Styela clava: one gene and its partners. The protein of the gene in region 3 binds, or shares a complex with, the protein of the main gene of each other region. Links are inferred from orthologs where the notes say so. Each region holds a gene or a part of one and is shown on either strand. Other genes may lie near its edges. The genes, in order: vacuolar protein sorting-associated protein 72 homolog, mortality factor 4-like protein 1 and transformation/transcription domain-associated protein-like.

Region 1 (7,682 bases), on a different chromosome or scaffold from region 3:
AAGAATGCTTGCAATGGATGGCAGAGGCGGTAACCTTAACTTTGGTGGCATATTCAATCTAGAAAAGAAAATAATTGATATAAATGGAAATAATGAAGAAAAACTTTTCTTTCAGAGTAACAGACCAGATATTACTGATATCTAGTAAACGGTGACCGGACATTTGAACCCATGCGTATATCCGCGGGTTCAATCTATATGCGGTTGCTAAAACCCATGGGTTAGGGTGAGTATGGGTTCAATTATCGGTAAAACAAAAAAATTTCCATATGTGCAATAGTATGCAGGTGCAATTGTCATGGGTTCAAATGTCCGTGGGTTCAAATGTAATGGAACCCTAGTAAACATTACCAAAATCTTATACATGAAAAATTGGAAAAATTTTGCAGCACAAACAAAGAGATACACTCCGAATAATTTTAATAGGTTTAACAGTCACATATTAGAAAATTTAAGTGAGGGCTCGGCAGTGTGGCGCATCGTGCTATGCGATAGGAATATGCTCGCCACTGCACCTCCGATTACCTTTTGTGTGTTCGCAGGTTCGAATCCCATTGGAGATAATTATGTGTGAGAGGATTGGTAGACTCCTCGCCGCCATAGGCTGGTTCACATAACTGCTAGTCGGTTAAGGCTTCCTTCAGCATCAAGTCCATGCATCTGAAACAAATAACTGGTTAATTAATCCCATACCCGACATGGATATGTAACCGGACGACAAACTGTGGTTTATGTGATTAAGTCGTCTTAGCAGCTTTCCTCTCCCTTGGGATAAATATGTAAATCCTACCGTACCCTAAATGACAAAACAGACCAGGGTACAAACATAAAGATAATCAAGATCTCAGGCGATTGGAAATTTTTTCACAAATAAACAGAACTGCACTATAGCTTAGGCTTGGAAAAATGTAGAATAAAAATTAAGGCAGTGTATACTCAATTTTACAAAATTTGAAAGAGTTCAACTTCAGGTGAACATGACAGCGTATAGATTTTAAAATGACTCATCAAAAAAATTTACATGATTAAGTCGCATGTTGCTTTTAATGTGAATAATCCAAACCATTATACAGTGTTAATTATTTTTTGATGGGCAGCAAGGTCATAACATCTGAGCATTTTACTACGGTAAATTAGTAACCTTGCCACAGAAGAATGTTCCTGGAAATGCTTTTTGAATCGGAAAAGTTGGCTTATGCATCAGGAAGCTATCAGTCTAAGCCAGGGTGGTCCAAAGTTGTCCGCTTTGGGAACAACAATATTAATTTTGCATTGTTCAGGGGCCACAATAGTGCCAAGAATATGCAAACAGTGCAATAAAAAACAAACACTTTTATTGTGCAAACACATCGATCATTATTTGTCATTTATCAAGCTAAAACATGCAAAGACCATCAAAAAACTTTCTAAAATGTGCAAATCGTCATAACTCTTAGTCAATTCAGTGACATTAGTGATGCAACAATATGTCGAAAGATTTTTCTGGTTATTTTTATGACTAGACAAATGCGATTTTTGATTAATAATCTCCAGCAAATGTGACACGGGCCACAGATAATGAGGCTGCCAGATGTAACCATCAGGTGTAACCAGAAATTTATAGAATCATTTTACCTTATCACGTTTTGCCAGTGATAAAGTATGTGCTTCACGAATAAGTTTAAAAGCATCCATGTCATAATAAGGAATATTAGTAAGTGGGTCTATATATCTGGCAGGCTTATTTGTAACTGGACATATAGGTTTATTGATTCGAGGCTGTTTTTTCCAGTGGAATTCATTTTTAAAAACTTCAGGTTCAGAGAAAATTATAAAATCTCTCGAAATTTTTGATGGCTCATCCGGGTCCACTGATGGCATTGTTGTCGATAAGTATTTGATTGTTGGTTCTGCAAATGTTCGCTTTTTTGTGCTAGATTTTTTTCGATTTGCTTCGAGACGTTGATAGTTGTGCAGCGATTTCAAGTTTTTACGTTCCGTTCTTTCCGCCTCTTGCATTAATTCTTCCTGGGTCAAACGTCTCACTCCAGCCATTGGTTTTTTCACAGTTTCTTTTTTCTTTTGGTCTGCGATTTTACGTTCTTTTACTTTCATGCTTATTAAATAGGAATTTGCTGCCGTGGCGCGACGAGATGATTTACGACTTGGCCCGTCATTGTTTACGGCAGTTGGTTCAGTTTTTTTCGCCTCTTTCGGAACTTTTTCTTCCTTGTTATCATCACTTTTACTAATTTCTTTTTCATCTTTTTTTGCTTTTTTAATTGAGGGATCTTTATAAGCTTTTGTGTTCGCTCCTCTTTTTCGTTTTTTCTCAGATTGTTTTATAGTTTCTTCATCTTGATCGCTGACAATTTCATCGTTTTCCGAGATATCGAAATCTGAGTCGACTTCGTCTGCGGAATCTTCTTGGTCCGACTCAAAATCATTATCTTCTTTTTCCTCTTCAAAACCTCCGTACGTAGTCTTATAAAAGTCATCCTCGTCTAGTTCCTCTTCCATGACCTTTGACATCCGATTTCCTGCAGTACAACGTGGCTCTCTTGCAGCAGCCATGATGATTTATAGCAGAAAAAATTTCACTAAATTTATAAATTCGATTTTGAGTCTGAAAATACAAAAAAATGCAGGAATATATGTTATATCTACAGTGGAAATAATATGAAAGTGTTTTATTTCTCTATGAAAAAGATGCCAACTCATGGAACAGTGGTAATGTAATTGTAGAACACAATATCTCAGTGGTTAGCATACATACGATATGTTACAGTTTGCACCAAATGAGCAGTAATGTTACCCAAGATTAATAACATGAGGAAGTAATTCTGGGCGGTAAGATTTTTGCCCAAATTTTTTGTTTTTTTGTACTTTTATTTGAATTATCAGTGGTACATTCGCTATAATCCTGGCCTCCCCTGTGTAAGGGGCAAAAACGGTATTTATAAAATACCTACAAATAAGATTTTAACATAAATAAAAAATTGAATTGAACATTCAAAAGTATAATACGCCAATATAAAGAAAAAGTAGCCACATACACATCATCAACAATATTTTTCAGAAAAGCACACTGTCAAAAAGGAATAAAGTAACAGCTTTCAAAACGCAAATCATGTTATTATGGTCATTCAGCTCAGGAAAGAATATACCAGCGAATAAAATGAGGGATTTAAGATGGTAGAAATAAAAATTTTACAAAAATAGAATTAAGCAGTTGGTGGAAATGATATACACAGTGGGAAATGAACTAATGCCATTGATGGTAATTTTGGTTTAGACAAAATTTAAATTCTATTATTCACAAGTCTAAGAATACAGTGTTCATAATAATATGTTATAAAATAATAATGATATAAATTATATTTTCATGTTAATAATGAGAGCTCGACCAATATATCGGTCTACTGATATATCGGGCCGATATAAATTATATAAATTAATTCCGATCGGCAGTAAACCAACGATATATATCGGCCAAAGTCAGTAAGCGCCGGGGTGCGTGCTTCAACGGCTCTCGCCTCTGCATAACTGCCGGTTTCCCAATATTTCTATCGCTTTCATTTTGCGTTAAAAAGGTGTCTCTCTTAATTCCCTACAATACCAGTACAAACATAACAAGCTTCTACTTCACAGTGCTGGTTTCAAATGATCCATTACATCAATATCGATGAATATTAATTCCCAATACAAATTTTATACACTTATAAGTAATACAATAATCGCATAAAATTGCTGAACTTGTGTGTCAATACAATTGAAACAATGCAATCAAACCGAGTTCAGAAGCTAAAACTGATTTGTGAGACTGCGAGCACAGTTTTTTGTCTTCCAGCTGGAAGGCGACCTGATAGCAAATAAATGAGATCTAAAAGACAACAGTTGTGTGTTGACAGAAAACTTTTCTAGGTAGGGAAGTAGATCAACAAATTCAACCTTTGCTAAGGGAGAAGAATATACAGTGGAACGGAAGCATTGGCTTGAATGAATTTTCCACTCATTTTATCTACAACATTCCAGTTATTACTCTCAGGATCCAGTTCTTCAATTGTATTGTTAGAAAGCTCCCCTCCAACAACAAATAGCTTATCTCCCACAACACATGAAGTAAACTTTGCCCTTGCATTGTTTAAACTAGCAACAGTGGTCCACGTTTCTGCAACTATATCGAAACACTCTACAATATTCAAATGGAAGCTTTGAGTCCCACCCATTACATAAATTTTTTCCTCGAGTCCGGCTGCAGAAGAAAATTTTCGTGCAGTTGGCATTGACGGAAGTTCTCTCCATGTTAAATCTAATGGATTAAATCTCAAGTTATTCGACATATGTCCAGTATTGTTCACCCCTCCTATGCAGTAGATGAAACTTTCAAGAGAAACAATAGATGATCCAAATCCTTCCACTGGCTTATGCGTGACATCAGACCAAGTTCCATCATATGGGTCATATTTCTCAACAGCATTACTATACCAACCATGATCAGCAAATGCGTAAATATAGTTGCCAAAGGCAACACCGATCGCACGTTTCTTAGCTGATTTTCGATCGTCCAGTCGAACCCATGTAGCATTGATGTCGATGTAATCCAACTTATAATTGTTCCCGTAATTTCCAAAAACATATATAATGTCATTAAGCACTGCTGCAGTGAAGTATTTAGCAACAAATTCCTTATCGATCTTCTGCATTTCTGTCCAGGTTTTCAGAAATGGATTGAAAACATGGATGGAACATGTTGTTTTACTAAACACTGCAATTACATTTTCATTAGTCACAAATTTTGAGGTGGCTATGTCAACATCCTCTGGCTCTACATTTGTTAAATCATTGGCTTGAGTTAGAGCACTCGTACATAAATCTGAGTTGAAAACTGAAGGCTCTTTTTGAATAAGATATGACCGATATTTCGAAGCAATTTTAGTCAAATTCAATTTTTCAAAAAGTGCTTCAAAAGTAGAAGTTCGAGTTCCTCTCTCAAAATTTGTCCAAATAATCAGAGCCTTGCATTTTATGTCTTCGGAAGCTTTTGTATTCCGTGATCCAATCAACAAAGAAACAAATTCCTTCTCTAAATGTTTAAAATCATCCTTCATAGCTAAATGTTGAAAATTTTTTAAAGCAAACTTTTCACAACATTCAAGTAATTTTGTACAATTGAACATATCTGCAATTATCTTTGCTGAATAAAACGACTCTATATTTATTTTCTTTCGAAGATATGTCGCAACATTCTCGCAAACTTTTTGTAGCTGCATAATATGAGCAGTATGCATTAGTTGTTTGCAATTTTTAGAGTCAGGAATGCTAACATGTCCAGTGTAAATGAAATCAATGCAAATCCTAACGCTTGAAAATTCAGTTTGTTTCATTTGAATGACGCCAGATCGACTTTCAACATTTTCATGAAACAGCATTGCTCTGAAATAGTCTGACCCTGTGGACAAAATATTTCTGTGTGCTAAGATTTCTTCATTACCAACCTTTATTGCAATGTCACAATATTCTTTATTTTTTCTCATTTCGTTAAGCTTCTTCATTATTTCTGCACAATGATCTTTATCATATCCGTCAGCAGTTAGTTCCATTTTTGTGATTGTGAAAACTAAACCAGAACCCAACAAGACTTTGACAGTTATGGCCACTCTTCTAAAACAGTAAAACAAGCATAAAATAGCCTACTAAGATGGTCATACAGAAGGTTAATTACAGAACAGCGCTGAAGTTCGGCTACCCACTGATACAATGTTACAGGTACTATATGCCGATAAAAAAGCAATAGTAGGGTGTCGGTACCGTATGCCTGTATGCCACAGTTTTCGAATATTACATAAATATAAAATGTACGGTACGGTAGCTCAATTCAACAATGCTAGTTGTAGTCTATTTAGACAGTAAAGTAAGGAGACGATATGTCACGGTTTCTCAATATAATATATTCAAATCGCTATTATAGAATTAATCTCAATTCAACAAATGCGGTACCGGTACCTTCGCTTTCTGTTGTAAAACTTTTAGCGAGTCACTATCAACGAACGCGGGATTCGTGTACACAAGGTAAAAAGTAAAGACGCGTCCTTCAATTTCCCAAATCAGATGAATGCGCCACTTACAACTAAGGAAATTCCGCGCCGTTAATCGTTTTCATAACAACATTCAAATATTAAATAAAACAAATAAATAATTATGATATTCATCAGTAATAACTTAAACCCATGTGCAATTACATTTCGAATTTTATAAATGCGAATCACAGAAACACGTTGCTTACCTGCTCATCCATGACCTGACCGAGCACTTTTCATTGGTTTTCAAGGGGCTCACTTTGCCGGACTCGTCAAGTTATGTTTAAAAATATACGCATTCTTTATGCCACGTCACACCCATAAGTTAAACTAGGGTGGTCCAAGGTTGTCGGCTCCGGGACAATAAAATTATTTTTTCATCGTTCGCGGGCCACAATAGTGCCAAGATTAGATAAACGGGGCAATACAAAACCCTTTTATTGTACAGACACTCATCAGTATTGGTCATTTATCAAGCTATAACATGCAAAAACCACCAAAAAACACACTAAACTCATCAACCCCAAATGCAATTTTTTGATTACTCTGCGAATGCGACGCGGGCCACATGAAGCTGGGTAATAACGGGCCTGGGTTTGGAGCACCCTGAGTTAAACTAGCGATGATTAAACCCCAAATGATGAACAAATATACTCTGAAAGTGTATAACTCGGGACATGTAAACATTCGCAATTATACAGGCGAACAGTGAGACTTGATGTACGGTATCATTTTACAGTTTTATTTACAAGGTTGCTCAAAGCAAAGTCGTTGGCCTCCAACCAAAAGTATAATGGGTTTATCCGTAAATATATGGTTTATCGAATTCGGCACCCTTTCAATCTAGGCTAGTTGCTAAGTCTTGCTATATTCACTGAAGGTAGCATACCGTATATCCTAAGCAAAACCACCGTCAAAATATGCTTTCGTGGCCCTAATTACCGGTTTTGGGCCAAAGTGGGATCACCATTTCTTATTAGGTACCGGGTATACCGGTACCGGAACATATAAAATCATAGGCATCCATCCTACCACTTTCTACAGAATCTTAGTATTTATTTGAGCATCTGTAATGAATTAATGATTGTTCAGTGACCATTTTCTGTCCTCACCCATCCCGCTGTACTCATTAGTCGGTGACTTCATTCAGTGCAACACATATTTATAACACATTCCCAAGTACCAAAAAAAACAGTATGTACATGAAATGTGTTTATTATACCTGAATTTTATTTGTATTTCTTGCCAGATTGGAAAATGGCCACTCGTCAAACTAGACCAGTCTCTCTGACACCTCGTAACTCGAAACAGTATTACAGGTCTCCAATGGTGGAGGTTTCATCAATGCACAGGAAGATTTACAATACTGATGAGCGGCATATCTTCAAGGTTGAATTGAAAAATAATTTGAATTGTGAAAATGGCATCAAGGATCTTCCAGTATTTTGGGTAGGAATTTATTAATAACAATGTTTGATTTCATAATACCATAAGGAAAAAGGGAAGTTCATCATCTAATGTCAATTACAGATGGTTGTGCGCACCTAACGAATTCTAGCCATGAGAGCCGAACAACTTGATAAAGTACCAATGAATTATTCTGTACCAATATTGTATCAGTGA
Region 2 (7,314 bases), on a different chromosome or scaffold from region 3:
TTTTTGATTCTTCATTCTCAAAATATGCTACATAATCCTTCAATATATCATCAACAGTTTTACGAGCTGGAAGATGATACAACTGAAATACATCGAAACAAAATAATCAAATAAAGCATTACTTTTACTGGTAAAAAGGTGATAGAAAAACACACGAGATATTTTTAAATTATGATTTACAATAGAAAAAAAAATGAAATTTGCATAATAAATAAATAAAACTGATTATTGAATCGTGAGAGAAAACAAAAACTCGAGTAAAATTTTAAGCGTACAGATTTTAGATGGAAAGGTATTGATAAAAGGTTTAAAGAAGTAATACTTGTTCGCTCACCCAAAAGAATTAAAACTAATTAAGGCACGCACGCACACACGATCACTGAGACACGATCGGAAGAGAAAAAAGCAAGATATAAAATCAATTAATCAGTAAAAAATACCAATAATGATTGAATTTTTTTGCCACACCATATTAATAATTTGATGAGGATTGCCAAATTGGATATCGAATTAGCCAACAGGAGTTATATACTGTGTTAATAAAACATAGCTCAAACAGGGTTATATATGAATGATGACAATATAAATAAATGGATTGAGCCTCAAAAAATTGGTTCTTACACAGGATGTAATGATTAATTCCATATATAGCTAACTAATATGAAATAGTAGACATAAAATAAATTTGAATAATTGATTGCGATATAAATTGATAATAAATATTGAAGATTCTGATTGATCTACCTGCTTTTGTCTTGTTATCAAATCCCAGTCATCCACAAGCATTGGCTTTAATTCATCAGGCATTTCAATCTTCACTTCAACTTTAGCAAAGAACGAGTCCTCCTGTTAAGTAAGAATAAATATTATTGTGCAAAATTACCCAGAGCAGAAAAGTCAAATAATGTAGCCATAAGGGTTTATGTAACATGATAATATATAAATTGCCAAGAATCAGAAAAATTATTTCTCGAGTTACTTTTACCCAGAATTAGTAGAAATATCCATCAGATATACCATTAGTGTAATTTCTTTTTCAACTTGTTATTAAAGGTATCTATAGCAATTAACGAGCAAATTCCACATCTTCCCCCATTGTCTAATCCTAGTATCTTTAAACATTCAAGTTGAAAACCCACCGTTTCAACAGTGGGATCGACTTTGTTTTTCTTCTTTTTAGGTTCAGCTGAAGTATTTGGCTCTGTAGTAACTGTAGAAATAAAATTTTATTGTTATGGCCCAATTACATAATCTACGAATATTACAATTGAGAATCATACATTTTGATTCATGTGAGATGTGACCCAAAGAATAGTCCATTGAGAAATGTTCATGAGAGCAATCTTTACACATTTTCCAAGTTTTCAGTTTAACTTTAGGTCCCTGGACAAGCTTGATAGTTATTAATTACTATAATTAAAAATACTAACTGCTTATTTCAACGAAATGTGAAATTTACCTTTTTTCTTTTCAATACTTTCCTTTTCTGTTTTTGGTTTAGGGTGCTTGCCTCTTCGCAATTTGTCTTTTCTACAAACAAATGAAAAAAAAAATGGATTTGAATGGATTGGATGCTACTGGTGATAAATTCATAGAATATACGATAGCAATGGGAATCATATTGGATGGTGACAATGTAATATGATGAATATTGAGTTTTTTTCGACCTGTTTTAACACATATTAAAAGAAAAAATCAGGCAGTTTAGACTCCACTCCACATTTAATGAAGCAGAATAAGTGGGTGATTGGTTGCTTAGTTGGCTACAACTAGAATGGCATTTTACTATTGATAAAATAATGAATAACACCAGTAATATCCAATTTGAGGATGGAAGAGATAATGAACAGTGATAATGATAAACACATCAGACTTACCCATGTTGTTTCAGAAGATCCTTTTGTTTCTGTAAATTAGAGTCATTATATTTCAAAACCCGATTCTCTTGTACCCATTCATCCCACGATTTGTTCCAACCATTGTAGTGAATAAGATAAGCACATTTATGGTCTCTCACTTCAGCTTTTACACATTTAGCTTCATAAAGAAGTGGCCCATGAAAGCAGAGAACTCGTTCACCTGTTGGAAAATGACATCAAACTAAGATAAATTATTTATTAATAATCAGCTTATTGGACATATTCACCTTTAAAAGTGAGACAATTTTTAAGCAATGATATATATATATATATATATATCATGTCAATGAATTGTATAAAGCGGAAAGAGTAAAAATTAACTATTGCAGACTGCAGTATTGAGAATACCAAATGTATCTATTTGTTTATGAAAATTATAACTAAGGTTTTTTTTCATGTTTATGAAATTTTCTCCGACCTAGACCAAATATTTCCTTATAAAAATGAATTCTGTCCGATTGAAGTATCATGTTAATTGGAATCTAAGGCAACTCTTAAAGCAAATTTCTATCAAGTTCAGTTTAACATAAGAGACCCGCAAAATTTCTAAACTCTTGGTGAACTTCCAAATAATTTTGAACATTCCATTGGGTATGACCATTTTCGAACCGCATAATAATTAGCATAGAAGAACTCAAAAATTAGAGTTTGAGTTAAACTAACATAATTTATTTATCATTCATCGCAAGAAATATGTTAAGATTTAGTAATAATTTATTACCATCACTGAATTTGAGCTTGGAGCTGTCAGATTTTGGTGCCATTTCTTCTAAATATCCTATTACACTGGTTGCTTATGTCCATATAACAAAATTTCGTTCCCATTATGTTGAAATATATATTTGCCCATATTGTTATCCAGTTCCATGAAAAATTTTATTGTTTCAGTAATAATATCCATGTCACCGAGTGAGGTGAAAGTTGATATAGGATACAGCATATGTAATAAAATAAAGCAAATATAACAATTACAAAATATCAAGTGGCCCACTACTGATGAACTAATAAGAACCAATGTCATCATGAATTGTCACAGATAAGGTTTTGTGCATATATCGAATTTCTGTTATAATGTTTTTTCAATTATCATTCGATTCATGCAGTTGCAGTGCTGACTTGGGCACCTGCTATAGGCCATGTTCACAATACAACGTAAGTACTTCTAGTTGGCGTGGCACAACCATTTTTGCTTGTCCTTCCTAAGCCCCACCTGAATTCAAAGAAATACACGAACTACTCGTTTCATCTTTCAAGCTACTCCTGTTACGAGACTCAATAAAGTTCATAATAACTAAGAACCGAGATTCACAAGCATATATGTAGATAAAAAAAACATGGAGAGTAATGCAGTTGCAGAGTTTTTAGGACACGAAAATATTTTGGGAATGGCCAAATCACGCAATAGTTTGTTTTCTGCACTTCTCTCTTGTATTCCCTTCCCTAATCATTTATATTTCTTTTGAGATCAATTTATAACAGTAAGTTAACAGGTAACTCTCACCAACATGAGCTGTACAACTTCATAAATTAAGCGGAAATGAGGAAAAGGGTGGCACAGACGAACTATATTACGTAAGAATGCAGCCAAATTAATGCTGGGCTCTTCTCGAGAGCTTACTCATTTGTTACACATAATACATTTTTTGTAGCCATATGTCATGAAAGAGAAAAAAAAAGTTTAAATAAATAACGAATTGTTAACATACGATAATGAATAAATTAACAACTAGTTTCATCAGATAATTCAGAGTCTCCAAACTTTTTTTCTGAAGGAAATGATCTCGTTTTCGAGGATTCTAATGGGCTCGCGTGCCAGTGGTTGCCCACCCCTGCCCTAGTGCATACCGGTATATATGGGATAAAAATGATATTTTATCATCTCCCTTTTTTGTATTATTATTTTGTCCCAATATCAGTATATATAAAATAAAAAATAAGCACAAACAACGATTATCGGTTTATATAACCATAATATCATTGTGATCATTAAATTTCGTTTTTTTTATGCATGTAGAATTTTCTATTCTTTAATAGGCCTACTGCCTATTTTTCATTATCACAACTATGACTCATAAATTGATTCATGTATCGTGAATTCGGTATCTCTATAGAGCAGTGTTTCCCAACCCGAGTCCGCGGTCTCAAATGAGTCCGCGGAGCGTTTGAATGAGTCCGCAACGAGCCAGAAATTTACTGCGGGTCGCAAACCTTTTTGCGAAACCTAACTATCAGCCAAGTTACGATTTACGTTAGAATTTACATAAAACATAATAAGCAAGTTTATTCACATAACATTAATCGAGTCACTAATTACTGGTTACTAAGTAGGGCTGCTCATATATTCGAAAATTCAACTATTAGAATATAAATTTACTATTCGAAAATTTAGTAACAAGTGATGCGACGGGTCACTTGCGCGCGCTTAATCAAACGATCGTATTTCCCAATTCATTTACAGATTTCCGACGAAAACACGAGTCTGCACGCGATTCGATAGATACCTAAATGGTGTTTCGCGAGTTCGAACAACGAGGAATATATTTTTTTTCTGATGCTAAGTGTCAAGGGTGGCAACCCAAATTTTTTAAATTGAAAAGCGGAAATACTAAAAATAAAACGAAGAACACCTTAATTAAGTTTTGTTTTATGATGGTCCGCGATTAAAAATGCTTTTTTAGACACTACGAATCGCAAAATTTCGGGTGCTGCGGTAGTATACGTACCAGGGCATTTTCCCTCAGAATTCCTTGGATTTTCCCTCAAGATTTTTTGAATTTTTCCTCAGGATGCCTGTCGGGCTCGGGTCAGGTTTTAATACCCACGGACCCGGGTCGGGCCTGCAAATCCAGTTAATTAGTCGGGCTCGGGTCGGGTTTTAATACCCACGGGCCCGGGTCAGGTCGGGCCTGCAAATCCAGTTAATTAGTCAGGCTCGGGTCTGTCGGGTTTAATACCCACGGGCCGGAGTCGGGTCGGGCTGGAATTTTTTAGCCCGATCTTACCTCTAATCCAAACTAAATATAATCGGGCAATATATTCTCACCTCATCATAGTCCCAGATTGCCTTGCCATTTTAAAGCAGTAATGCTTTCATCGAAACAACCGCGAGTTACCATGAACACAATTAAATTAAAATAAAAGGACATTTTAAATTCTCGTCGTCGTCATTGGATTGAATATTGTGCGACAGAAAAGGCCATTTTATACACTAAAAAAATTCGTCTCTTTTAACGAACGCGTAATTGCGGCGAATTTCCGATTTTGAAATTCGTTAAAGTTCTGTTGTGTTTGGTTTTATTGCTTTTCACACAGAGTACGCTTGCAATAAACGCACATTAAGTCCGCAAAGGTTTTCGCCGGTAAAAAAATAGGCCGCGACCAAAAAAGAGTTGGGAAACGCTGCTATAAAGGCATATGAAGAAACCGGGCAGCCAATAAATTACAGTTAAATCTGGGGGCTCGTGTAGTTTCGTACCTAACGTACTTCTAGTGGTGAGTGGGCGTAGCATAACAATTTCTTGATATGTTAATAATCCTAACCCCCATCTGACTACGCCATCCAAAAATTACGTCACTACGACATCACAATCATGTCATAGAGCTTGCCAAATATACATACCATCGCCCGAAATAGCATCGGCGACGACAATAAAGAACTGACTAACGTCATCGATCTCTGCAACGAAAAAAATAGCTCTTCGATTTCGGGTGCTCATCTGCGCGTCTTGGATGGAAGTTCGTATAGTTTGAAGGGCTCTATCACGTCACTGTGACGTAATTTTCGGATGGCGTACCGGTAGTCAGGTGGGGGTTAGGATTGACATGTGAAAAAATTGTTATGCTACGCCCACTAGAAGTATGTTAGGTACGAAACTACATGAGACCCTAAATCTGTAAGTTAACAAATTGTAAATTAGGAATCTCATAATGAAGTTGAGTTTCAATATCAGAATCTATGTTGTTTACACTTTACAATATTCACAAATACTTGTGCAATGCAAAACCATGCAATGTATTGTTGAGAACTATAGATTTGTAATACAGTTTAATTTAAAAGACCTTAATTTTGTTTTTTCGGTTGATGGAAACGAATTTTCATATATCTGTCCCTCTGCAAATTGCTATCTTTTTTTTTTTTTTTGCCAAATAAATTCCAATGCCAAACGGAATTTTCGTATATTAATTTTATTGTCGAATTAGTATAATTTGCACCCAATTAAAACAATTTCATAATTTCAAAACACATTGCCCACAAGTTCAAATTGCTATCGCATCTCATCACCTCCTACATATGAAACTTCTACTACTCTTTACTGACTCCTCGCGGATAGTGATAGGTGTTTATTTTAATTACAGTTACCAGATATCATGACAATTTCGAAAATCACAGTGACATTAAAACGATAGAAAAGCATAAATGATTCAAATTATATATATATATATAAATATACAATTATATGATTTGTTCTGTTCTATAAAGTGTTGCCTTTTCAATTTGCCGAAACCTGTATTGATTGTCGTAATGATACTTTATTGGTTTATTGCTTACCTAGTTCGTATTCGATTCAACACAATATGCAATGCTAAATTTAAAAAAAAATCATTGTAATTAGGAAAATAAAGTAATAAACTTTTTTCCCTCAAATATTCACAATTAACTTTTTTGAGTTTGCTTACTCGGATTTCCATACAGCGTTGTCAAATATGGCAACTATGAGTTCACCAGCACGGATGGTCCTTTCTGCTCTGCTGTGCCGATCGATAGGTACGTTCGCGTTTTTATCGTCGCTGTCTTGTCATAAAGGCTATTTTCGTATAAATTTGTTGGTGTATTCACAACAAAAGGGTGCTAAATTAACATATTTGTCATGGTGTTAGGGTAGAAATGAGTTTAAAGTATTGTTACTGATACACATTCTTACCCAATTACGATAATCCAAATTAGTCTGCTGTATTCATTTTCGATCTAGCTATTGTTGTTTATTTATACGATATAGCTTACTATTTCACTGATTGATATCTAAAACTGTGATAAGTAGTTTGTACTGCAGTCATTCAGCTGCTTAAGTTTACCTGCTACTCATGTTTACAACCCTGTTTTTGCCTTTTATAAATGAGGAAATACGAATTGGCAATATCAGAATATGGACATATAAACTTATAAATTGGAAAGCCAATACAAACTTGGCATTAACGCAGCAACAATGTGAATCACATGATTAGCTAGGCTTTGTACAGTATTTTATTGATTCACAAAACCAATGCTGTGAACTTACCGTAATTTTAGCATATAAAAAAAAATAAAGTATATATATATTTTTTATTTTGATTTATAATTGGAATGTTTATTAATAGCATGACATTGCTCTATTTGAATCTCATTTTTTTTGTTTTC
Region 3 (7,623 bases):
ATGTAATAAATTGGGCAATGCTGAAAAGATTCTGATCATATCAAAAATGGAAGCTTTTTACAGATTAATTGATATCAGTGGCTTCTAGTACATAGCCTTGTTTAAGAGTGAAAGGTGTAATGAAAGCAATGTATTAAAAAATGATATTCAGCAATCTTCTTGTAGGATCTGAGATTTATGGTGAAAAACATGTATTCAAAAGAAGGCACAGAAATTCCTATCACATATTTACGCCCAATTAAAAGTGCCAATGCTTTTCATGTATATCCCTCAACTTTATATTCAATACTTTACCATATTTCTTGGTAGTTCTGAATAGATTCTCTTCACAAGAGCAAGAAAATGTTGGATCTGAAACAATATAATAAAAATTAACAAACAATTTATATCCATGCCTAATCCAAAGTTCCAAACAAGCAAACACAATATCTATATAACAAATGCACAAACTTAAGACAGTCAAGACTACTTTTCATCCCACAGTCAGCTTAGAATTAGAAGTGGATATATTATAGCAGGCATGTTGATTTAATACACTTGATTATGTTATTATTGCAATTAGAGACATCAGGTTCAAATTCCATGTCTATCATTCCAGCTTGGGTTGTCAGAACATTGGGTAGGTTGTGCAGAAACAAAAAATTAGACCCCTTTCGCAAAGTTCATCCATTAGCGATTACTTGAGTAGAGTCTTGTTGAGTGTTTGAATGCAACTTGTACAAAATAACCTCAAAAACTTTGGCCAGTATTCCCAAAATCACACATATCTTGAAAATGGACGAGACTAACAAAAGAGTATTAGGATTAGTAAAATGAAAATTAGCGAAATATCAAAATACAGCTAAAACTTTTACCTCTGGTGCCATTTGTGGTCTGAATTGTTTATGGAGCTCAATCAATATTTTTAAACAAACTTGAACATTTTCTTCATTGTCAACCTGGATTGCAAAAGACAATTTTTAATATTTAAATTCTCAATATGGCTGAAAATTGAATATCAGTGGCTGATTATACATGACCTTGTTCCAAGCAAAATATGTGAATAAGTATCGTATAAAAAACAATTATTTTAATGTACGACATCTTTTCCATCTTTTTTTAAGCAAACACACAAAGCATTACAATGGTTACTTCGTAGTGTGTGTATCAGGTTAGGGTTAGGCCATAATTTTTTTCCGATTTTCCTTATTTTAGTTTTAGTACGAGTTCAGGACCTGTCTGTGTTAGCCAAGTGAGTCTTTCCCTGCCAATATGTTCAGTCCCTTTACGTTACCGTACCGTCCATATTGGTACATAACACTTCAAATATAATTTTTGATTTTTAGGCAAGTTAAGTCAATTTACTTGAGTTAAGTATGAATTACTTGTACATTACCTCAAGTAGTTGGAAGCATAAATTGAGAATCATTTTAACATGAGGTTTCAAATAATCATTTGTTGGAATCCGATGTAGAATGTCAAGAACAAGTTTGCGAAGTTGCTGTAAAAAAAGAACGTTAAATAAAATATCCATTGTAATAATGATAGCCCGATATAAAATAGGTTCGCAATTTTGATAATTATTAAATGTAGAAGTGGGCAAGATTGAAATCTCAGAGATAGATTTGAAAAGCAAGTTGTTTTAAGTAAAATATTTCGATAATCTCTTAGAAATATTTTGGTGCTGTTATATGTATACTAGGTGTCACATTTTTAACTAATTAGATCCAAAACTCAACTTTGTTGGCATCGGAAATTAAAAAAATAGTTAATTACAGCTCCCAGCTCCACCTGTGTTAAATTGGAGGCAACGTAAAACAGTAAAGATTTTCAGGTTATTGTAGAAATAAAAGAGATATTAAAGACTGTTGTTCAGAACTGTAATAAGTGTGAAAATCTAACCTTTGACCTCATATAAATACAAGGTCAATTTCTATTTCCAAATGAATAATTCACCATTATAGTTTTCTAACCTGGCCATGATTTTCCAGTACAAAGCTTGGTTCTCCATCTTGCAATAATTTGACAAATCTTGGAACACAATGATTTAGAAACACTTGATACTGAGGAGAATGTGCAATGTCCTGAAGAATTAATTATTGATAATTAATAATAAATAATGAATACCGAATGAATAATGAAAAAGCATAAATATGGTGGTAATTTAAGTGGATTATTTCAGCAATTACAGTAAAACAGAAAGCATTTATCTGATTTCATTTATATTTAAAAAGTTCAAAAAGGAATGAACAAAAATCTGAATTTCATATTAATATCATTTAAGTAAGTATAAGAGCAGAGTAAAAAAACATCCAAACTTCGATCAAATAACTGCATAGCAATAAAAAATTGTACAAACCTCGAAATGTTCGCTCACTTCTTGAGCAACTTTCAACTTATTTTCATCCTCTGTTAGAAATGAAAACAGCATATAAAACACAAAATATAAAAATACAGAAAACTAAAAATTCAAAACAATATTCATAAAAACAGTAATAGGACCATCTCCAATTCTTATGGGATTAAGATTTACATATAAGACGGCTTAATCACATGGCAAACCACGGAATCTCATCCTGCTGCCAGTCCACGTTGGGTATGGGATTAGATAGCCAGTGGATAGACTTGACGGCAGAGGACCCCTCACCGCCCAGCGATTATTAAAACTACTTTACGGCAGCGAGGTGTCCAGAAATCTTCTCGAATATAATTAACCCCCACTGGATACGACCTGCAAACTCACGGACAGATGGAGGGTCTTAGCATGATGCGCAACACCGCCGAATTCTTGAATTACAGTCTGAAGTAGAAACATTCTTGTAGCAGAAAATGCGCTGATAAAAATCAAAATTTTACTTACGAGCCAGTGGATCATTGAGCAGAGACACATATTCCTTGTATTTGTTTATTTCTTGGTTGATGTCAGATGACACTGAGTGAAGCATGGTTCATGCAACCATATACATACAATGATACAACAGTGACAGACCCACTGTCTTATGCCGTAATTGTATATTTAGTCAATATCTGTATTAAGTGAAAATCAGTGATTTGGTAAATCGGAAAAAAACACTACCTTATAAAACCAATATGTAGGTAGGTATAGGGAGTAACTTAAGGAGCTGGGAAAATCGAAAATAGCTTTTCTCAGCTGTCTCTACTTACAGACTTAATAAAACTCTTACTGTCTTAGTAGAATATAGGATAGGATAGGATTTACATATTTATCCCGGGGGAGTAGAAAGCCGATAAGATGGCTTATCCATATGGCGAACCACGGCCTCTCGTCCGGTTACCATTCCAAGTCGGGTATGGGATTAGTTTTACTGTATTGTTTGTTTTCGGAAGCATGGACTTGGTGGTGGAGGAAGCCGTAACTGACCAGCGGTTACGTGAACCACCCAACGACGGCGAGGAGTCCAGCAATCCTCTCGCACATAACCATCCCTGCATGGGATTTGAACCTGCGAACCCACGCAGAGTAGTTAGAGGTGCGGTGGCGAGCGTATTTCTACTGCTTAGCCCGTTGAGCCACACCGCCGCGCGGATTAGTCAGTTTTTCCTCATTTGTCAGATATTCCTCATTTTAGGCTTTTACATCTTACTTTCATGTGTGCACTGAATTAAAGTAACCCATCTATGTATTCACGAGCCTTTACTACGTTAGCGCAAACTTGAAAAAAAATCTGCACAACTCAGACACACCAACAATTCTATACTACGTGTCTTATTCCGGTTTATACTTACCGGCACCAGGCGCCTTCTCGTCTATTTATTCAAAAAATCGAGAAACAATATAATACTGTGCATATACTACCACATCTATTTGCGCAAATATGACAAAAAACTTGAAGACGTGCGTAAAAAATCTGAAACTGATTTGCTAGGGTTCTGAATTGAAGCAACCTCGCCGTTTTTTGCCTGTCTGCACAATATTTAGTATCGTACTAAGTTTTATTCACGACTTTTGCCACAAGAGGGCTTTTATGTGTAGGTTGAGAGTGTTAATATGTCGTTTTATCCGATTAGGATTGTCCTCATTGTTCTCGCCTTGCATTAATCGAAATAGGTATTAGCTTGAAGTCTGTTAGTATGATTTCATCTTGAGTTTATGAATATTACCTAACTAAAACTGCAAATATCTACTCGGACGACGACACTGCTGATTTTATCAAGTTGGACCCATTGAGGTGAATACACTTCAACGGTTGAACCTGATACAGCATGGACACATTCGACTTTATCATCGCTGGAAGAGACAAATAAGGAAAGAAACTAACATCAACTTATTCACTGATTAAAAGATTTTAAGCTATTTTTCTGTGCACCTTAAGTAGTAATGACAGAACAGTTCATGAAAATTATCCAACACATTTTAGATGCATTGTTGAAAATAATATCATTTTGGGGACCCTAGAGACCATTTGGAAGTGTAAATGTGCCTGCTGTAGGCACTAGATGGAACAAGAAAGCAAGCGATGCTCAAATATATGAACACAAAATCCAAAACAAAGTTCCAATCGTTACGAGTATTATTTATTCTCCGAGTTTTGCGTGGGTTTCGCATCAACTCGGAAACAGCCGTCACGCTTGGTGGATTAAATACCGTAAAAAGAAGAAAAATTCGAACAAAAACATCATAATAGCAGAACGATCCATAGTTCCATTTCAAGTCCGGTAATATTTATCGGGTTGAAAGTTAAATGGCTGCACTGCTGCGGTAAAAATATTATAAAATGTTTTTCTGTGTGATTAACATTAAAGCATGCATTTGGGTACAAACATTAATCTGTAAAATTTACAAATTTAATAACTCTTTCTTGACTCAGTGTTTTTGGCTTTGATATTTCTCAATATTGATTTCAAATAATATTCATTCTATTATGTGCTTGCTTTGTTTTTGTAGATGGGCGAGCATTTGCGCGTGTTCCAATCTCATTCTAGACAGCATTTTATTTGTATTGCATCCTTCTGTATTTTTCTCGTTCGAGCAGCCGAAATATATTATTGTAATATATATATATTTGACCAGAACATGCAAAATGCTTGCGACTAGTCGACAACTGCTGACCACCAACCATATTTCAAAATATTCGAAAATTCGTTTATCATAGACGACAATGAATGAACAGTATCGAATTTATATTTACGCATGCATTTTATGTTTCGCAATACACAATATGTGAAGAAAGCGGAATATTATACAAAAGCAATGAAAAATTAATGGCTTAGTTATACATTTGAAGATACGAAAAGCAACGTTTTATATTCATTTATGTAATAAACTTATTTGTAAATAAGATAACCCATAAGGTCCAGATTTACAGACTTCCAATCCATTTGACCAAAGATCTTCGAAGAATAGTATGATCAAAAGCGATTAGAAGATACCCTTATGGTTAAAACAAAATGGGTCTTCAAAAGTATCCAGAAATAATTAAAAAAGTAGGCTACAAGAAAGGTCAAAAGAAAGATTTATTTTTTTCAATTCATCGTATTGAAAGCTTGAAAACCGTCGTTTTCTCTAAACCGTTTCTTTTGGAAAAAGCTAGATAAAAATATCTGAATCTGAATCTGATAGTCTTAAACTATGATCAAGTTCGTTTGCGTCTTGGTTGGAAACAAAATGGGTGTTCAAAATATATTTAGAAAAGTGAAGGAACAGTAAAATAGAGTTTGTGGTTTTTAATCGAAGGATTGAATGATCGACCATAATAACTGTCAAACCGTCATTTTCGGTCACACCGTTTATTCAAACCGTTTATTTTAGAAACATCTGCCCCCAAATTTTGATTTAATCTCGTTTATTTTCAGTTAAAACGCTGAAATTTCCACATCTGGATTGTCTTTCGCGGCTTGTTCCTGAACCTGATCTTGGTTCGCATCGCTCTCGCTAACGCGAGGACTTCTTTTTGGACTCTCAGGTTTTCCATTTTCAATCTCCAAGTGATTTTCTTGGGTTTCTGGCGTTTCTTGATCTGGAATCTCTTGCTTTGGCGGTTCCTTTGGCGCCTGTCGTTTTTTAACCGGAGTTTGAGTTTCGTTTATTTCTGGTTGTTTCTTAACTTCGCCGTTTTCACGTCGTGGACTTGAATGACCTGACGTTGGATCGATTTTCTTAGACGCAAAGTATTCGGCGAGTTGCGATGGGATTTTTTGCAACAAATTGCGACCGAGTGTATCCATCGATTCCTGTATCAAAAATGTAAAATACGTAAATAATATATATAATCCAATGATTTGAAATAAGTTCTGATGAGAATACTGTATTACTTGAACTCTACAAATATTATAGAGCGGACGAGCGAGGATAAAGCTGTTCAAGATTAAAATTGAAAGATTAGATTTCTGCGAACATCAGCATAGAGTTTAAAAAATTGAGAAATTTTCATGTGCGGTTCAGTTAGCATGTTTCAAAAAATATCTCGCAAATAATATTCCTGCCAGTTGTAGAATTATTTTATATACATTGTTATCAGATAAATTCAGATAAAAAGTCTTTTTATAACTTGCGAATTTTCACCAGAAATACAACAATGAAAGATGTGTCATTTTCAGTACAAAGTTAATGTAAGACATATGCATACATTCCCAACTGGAATGTTTTATTTCTTATTATCAACGCATTTAAAAAGAGCGAAAATGAGGACAATAATGAAATGTTAGTTTGTGACTAGTTTTTGTATATATAATATCACGATGAATGTTTGTATACAGTTTACTTGATACTTATGACGAAAATCCTACTCACAAAATTAAACTTTCGGAATGAGACAATCTGAGTAATATCTCTTGCAGCGCACTCTCCTTCTTGAGTCTTGATATGCTTTGCTCCTTTGCTCATAAACTCCATATCACTGAAGTCTGCATTTCCAATCCCAACAATGACGATTGAAATTGGAAGTTTTGAAGCGCGGACAAGAGCCTTCTTCGTTTCATCCATATCTGTCACCACACCGTCAGTCAAGATAAGGAGAACTTGATACTCCTGTTAAAATTGGAATGGAAGAAAATAAAATATAGTTTTTTACAAAAAATTAACGCACGGGCCACGGCCCCTCTTCAATTGTCAATATAACGAAATAGTCTTGTTCACTTTGGTTACATTATTTTACGAGCCTTGTAATTATTGTACTGCAATCACTAAACCAACTGAAATCTAATGCGAAATGCACGAAAATCGCTCTGAATTGCGAAACATAAAATGCATGCGTTAATAGAAATTCAATACTGTTTATTCATTGGCTTTACTCTCTGTGATATACGAAATTTGAATGTTTTAAAATCTGGTTGGCGGTCAGTAGTCAGTCGAATAGTCCAAGCATTTGTGTATTCTGGTCAATTTTTTACAATATTATATATCGGCTGCTCTTACAAAAGCAATAAATAAACATTAAATATACTAATCCACCCATTCCTTTTTTCTCGAACTGTTCTGCGTTGCTGCTTAATACCTATCTAATTGAACAATTGTTTGAAAAATATCTTGTGTAAATCTTCATAACAACTTTGTGGCAGAACATGAATTTCCCATTTATTGTCGATAGAAAATTATACTTTATTTATTTTGAATTCGACTACTCTTCACTTACCAATCGTCCTTCGTGTTTTTCAGCCGCATCGGCCACTCGGTTGATTATGGGT

The links.
Region 1: transformation/transcription domain-associated protein-like (region 3) and vacuolar protein sorting-associated protein 72 homolog share a complex: the UniProt entries of both Drosophila melanogaster proteins name them as parts of the tip60 chromatin-remodeling complex. The link is inferred for Styela clava from reciprocal best matches to the Drosophila melanogaster genes Nipped-A and YL-1.
Region 2: transformation/transcription domain-associated protein-like (region 3) and mortality factor 4-like protein 1 share a complex: the UniProt entries of both Drosophila melanogaster proteins name them as parts of the tip60 chromatin-remodeling complex. The link is inferred for Styela clava from reciprocal best matches to the Drosophila melanogaster genes Nipped-A and MRG15.

Annotation. Positions count from the first base shown.
Region 1 is NC_135254.1:7,385,164-7,392,845, reverse strand, and holds vacuolar protein sorting-associated protein 72 homolog, read right to left. Parts: upstream 2,605-7,682; 5' UTR 2,554-2,604; coding exon 1,606-2,553; 3' UTR 509-1,605; downstream 1-508. Other genes in the region: dimethyladenosine transferase 1, mitochondrial-like, read right to left, coding at 1-51; kelch-like protein 12, read right to left, coding at 3,936-5,643, 6,266-6,273. UniProt on the Drosophila melanogaster protein: Part of the Tip60 chromatin-remodeling complex which is involved in DNA repair. Upon induction of DNA double-strand breaks, this complex acetylates phosphorylated H2AV in nucleosomes and exchanges it with unmodified H2AV.
Region 2 is NC_135257.1:13,338,376-13,345,689, reverse strand, and holds the start of mortality factor 4-like protein 1, read right to left. Parts: upstream 3,093-7,314; 5' UTR 2,684-3,092; coding exon 2,641-2,683; intron 2,080-2,640; coding exon 1,878-2,079; intron 1,531-1,877; coding exon 1,460-1,530; intron 1,211-1,459; coding exon 1,140-1,210; intron 847-1,139; coding exon 745-846; intron 83-744; coding exon 1-82. UniProt on the Drosophila melanogaster protein: Part of the Tip60 chromatin-remodeling complex which is involved in DNA repair. Upon induction of DNA double-strand breaks, this complex acetylates phosphorylated H2AV in nucleosomes and exchanges it with unmodified H2AV.
Region 3 is NC_135262.1:5,122,144-5,129,766, reverse strand, and holds the start of transformation/transcription domain-associated protein-like, read right to left. Parts: upstream 3,003-7,623; 5' UTR 2,925-3,002; coding exon 2,840-2,924; intron 2,389-2,839; coding exon 2,339-2,388; intron 2,064-2,338; coding exon 1,953-2,063; intron 1,481-1,952; coding exon 1,376-1,480; intron 939-1,375; coding exon 855-938; intron 352-854; coding exon 295-351; intron 1-294. Other genes in the region: copine-3-like, read right to left, coding at 5,794-6,171, 6,731-6,967, 7,572-7,623. UniProt on the Drosophila melanogaster protein: Part of the Tip60 chromatin-remodeling complex which is involved in DNA repair. Upon induction of DNA double-strand breaks, this complex acetylates phosphorylated H2AV in nucleosomes and exchanges it with unmodified H2AV.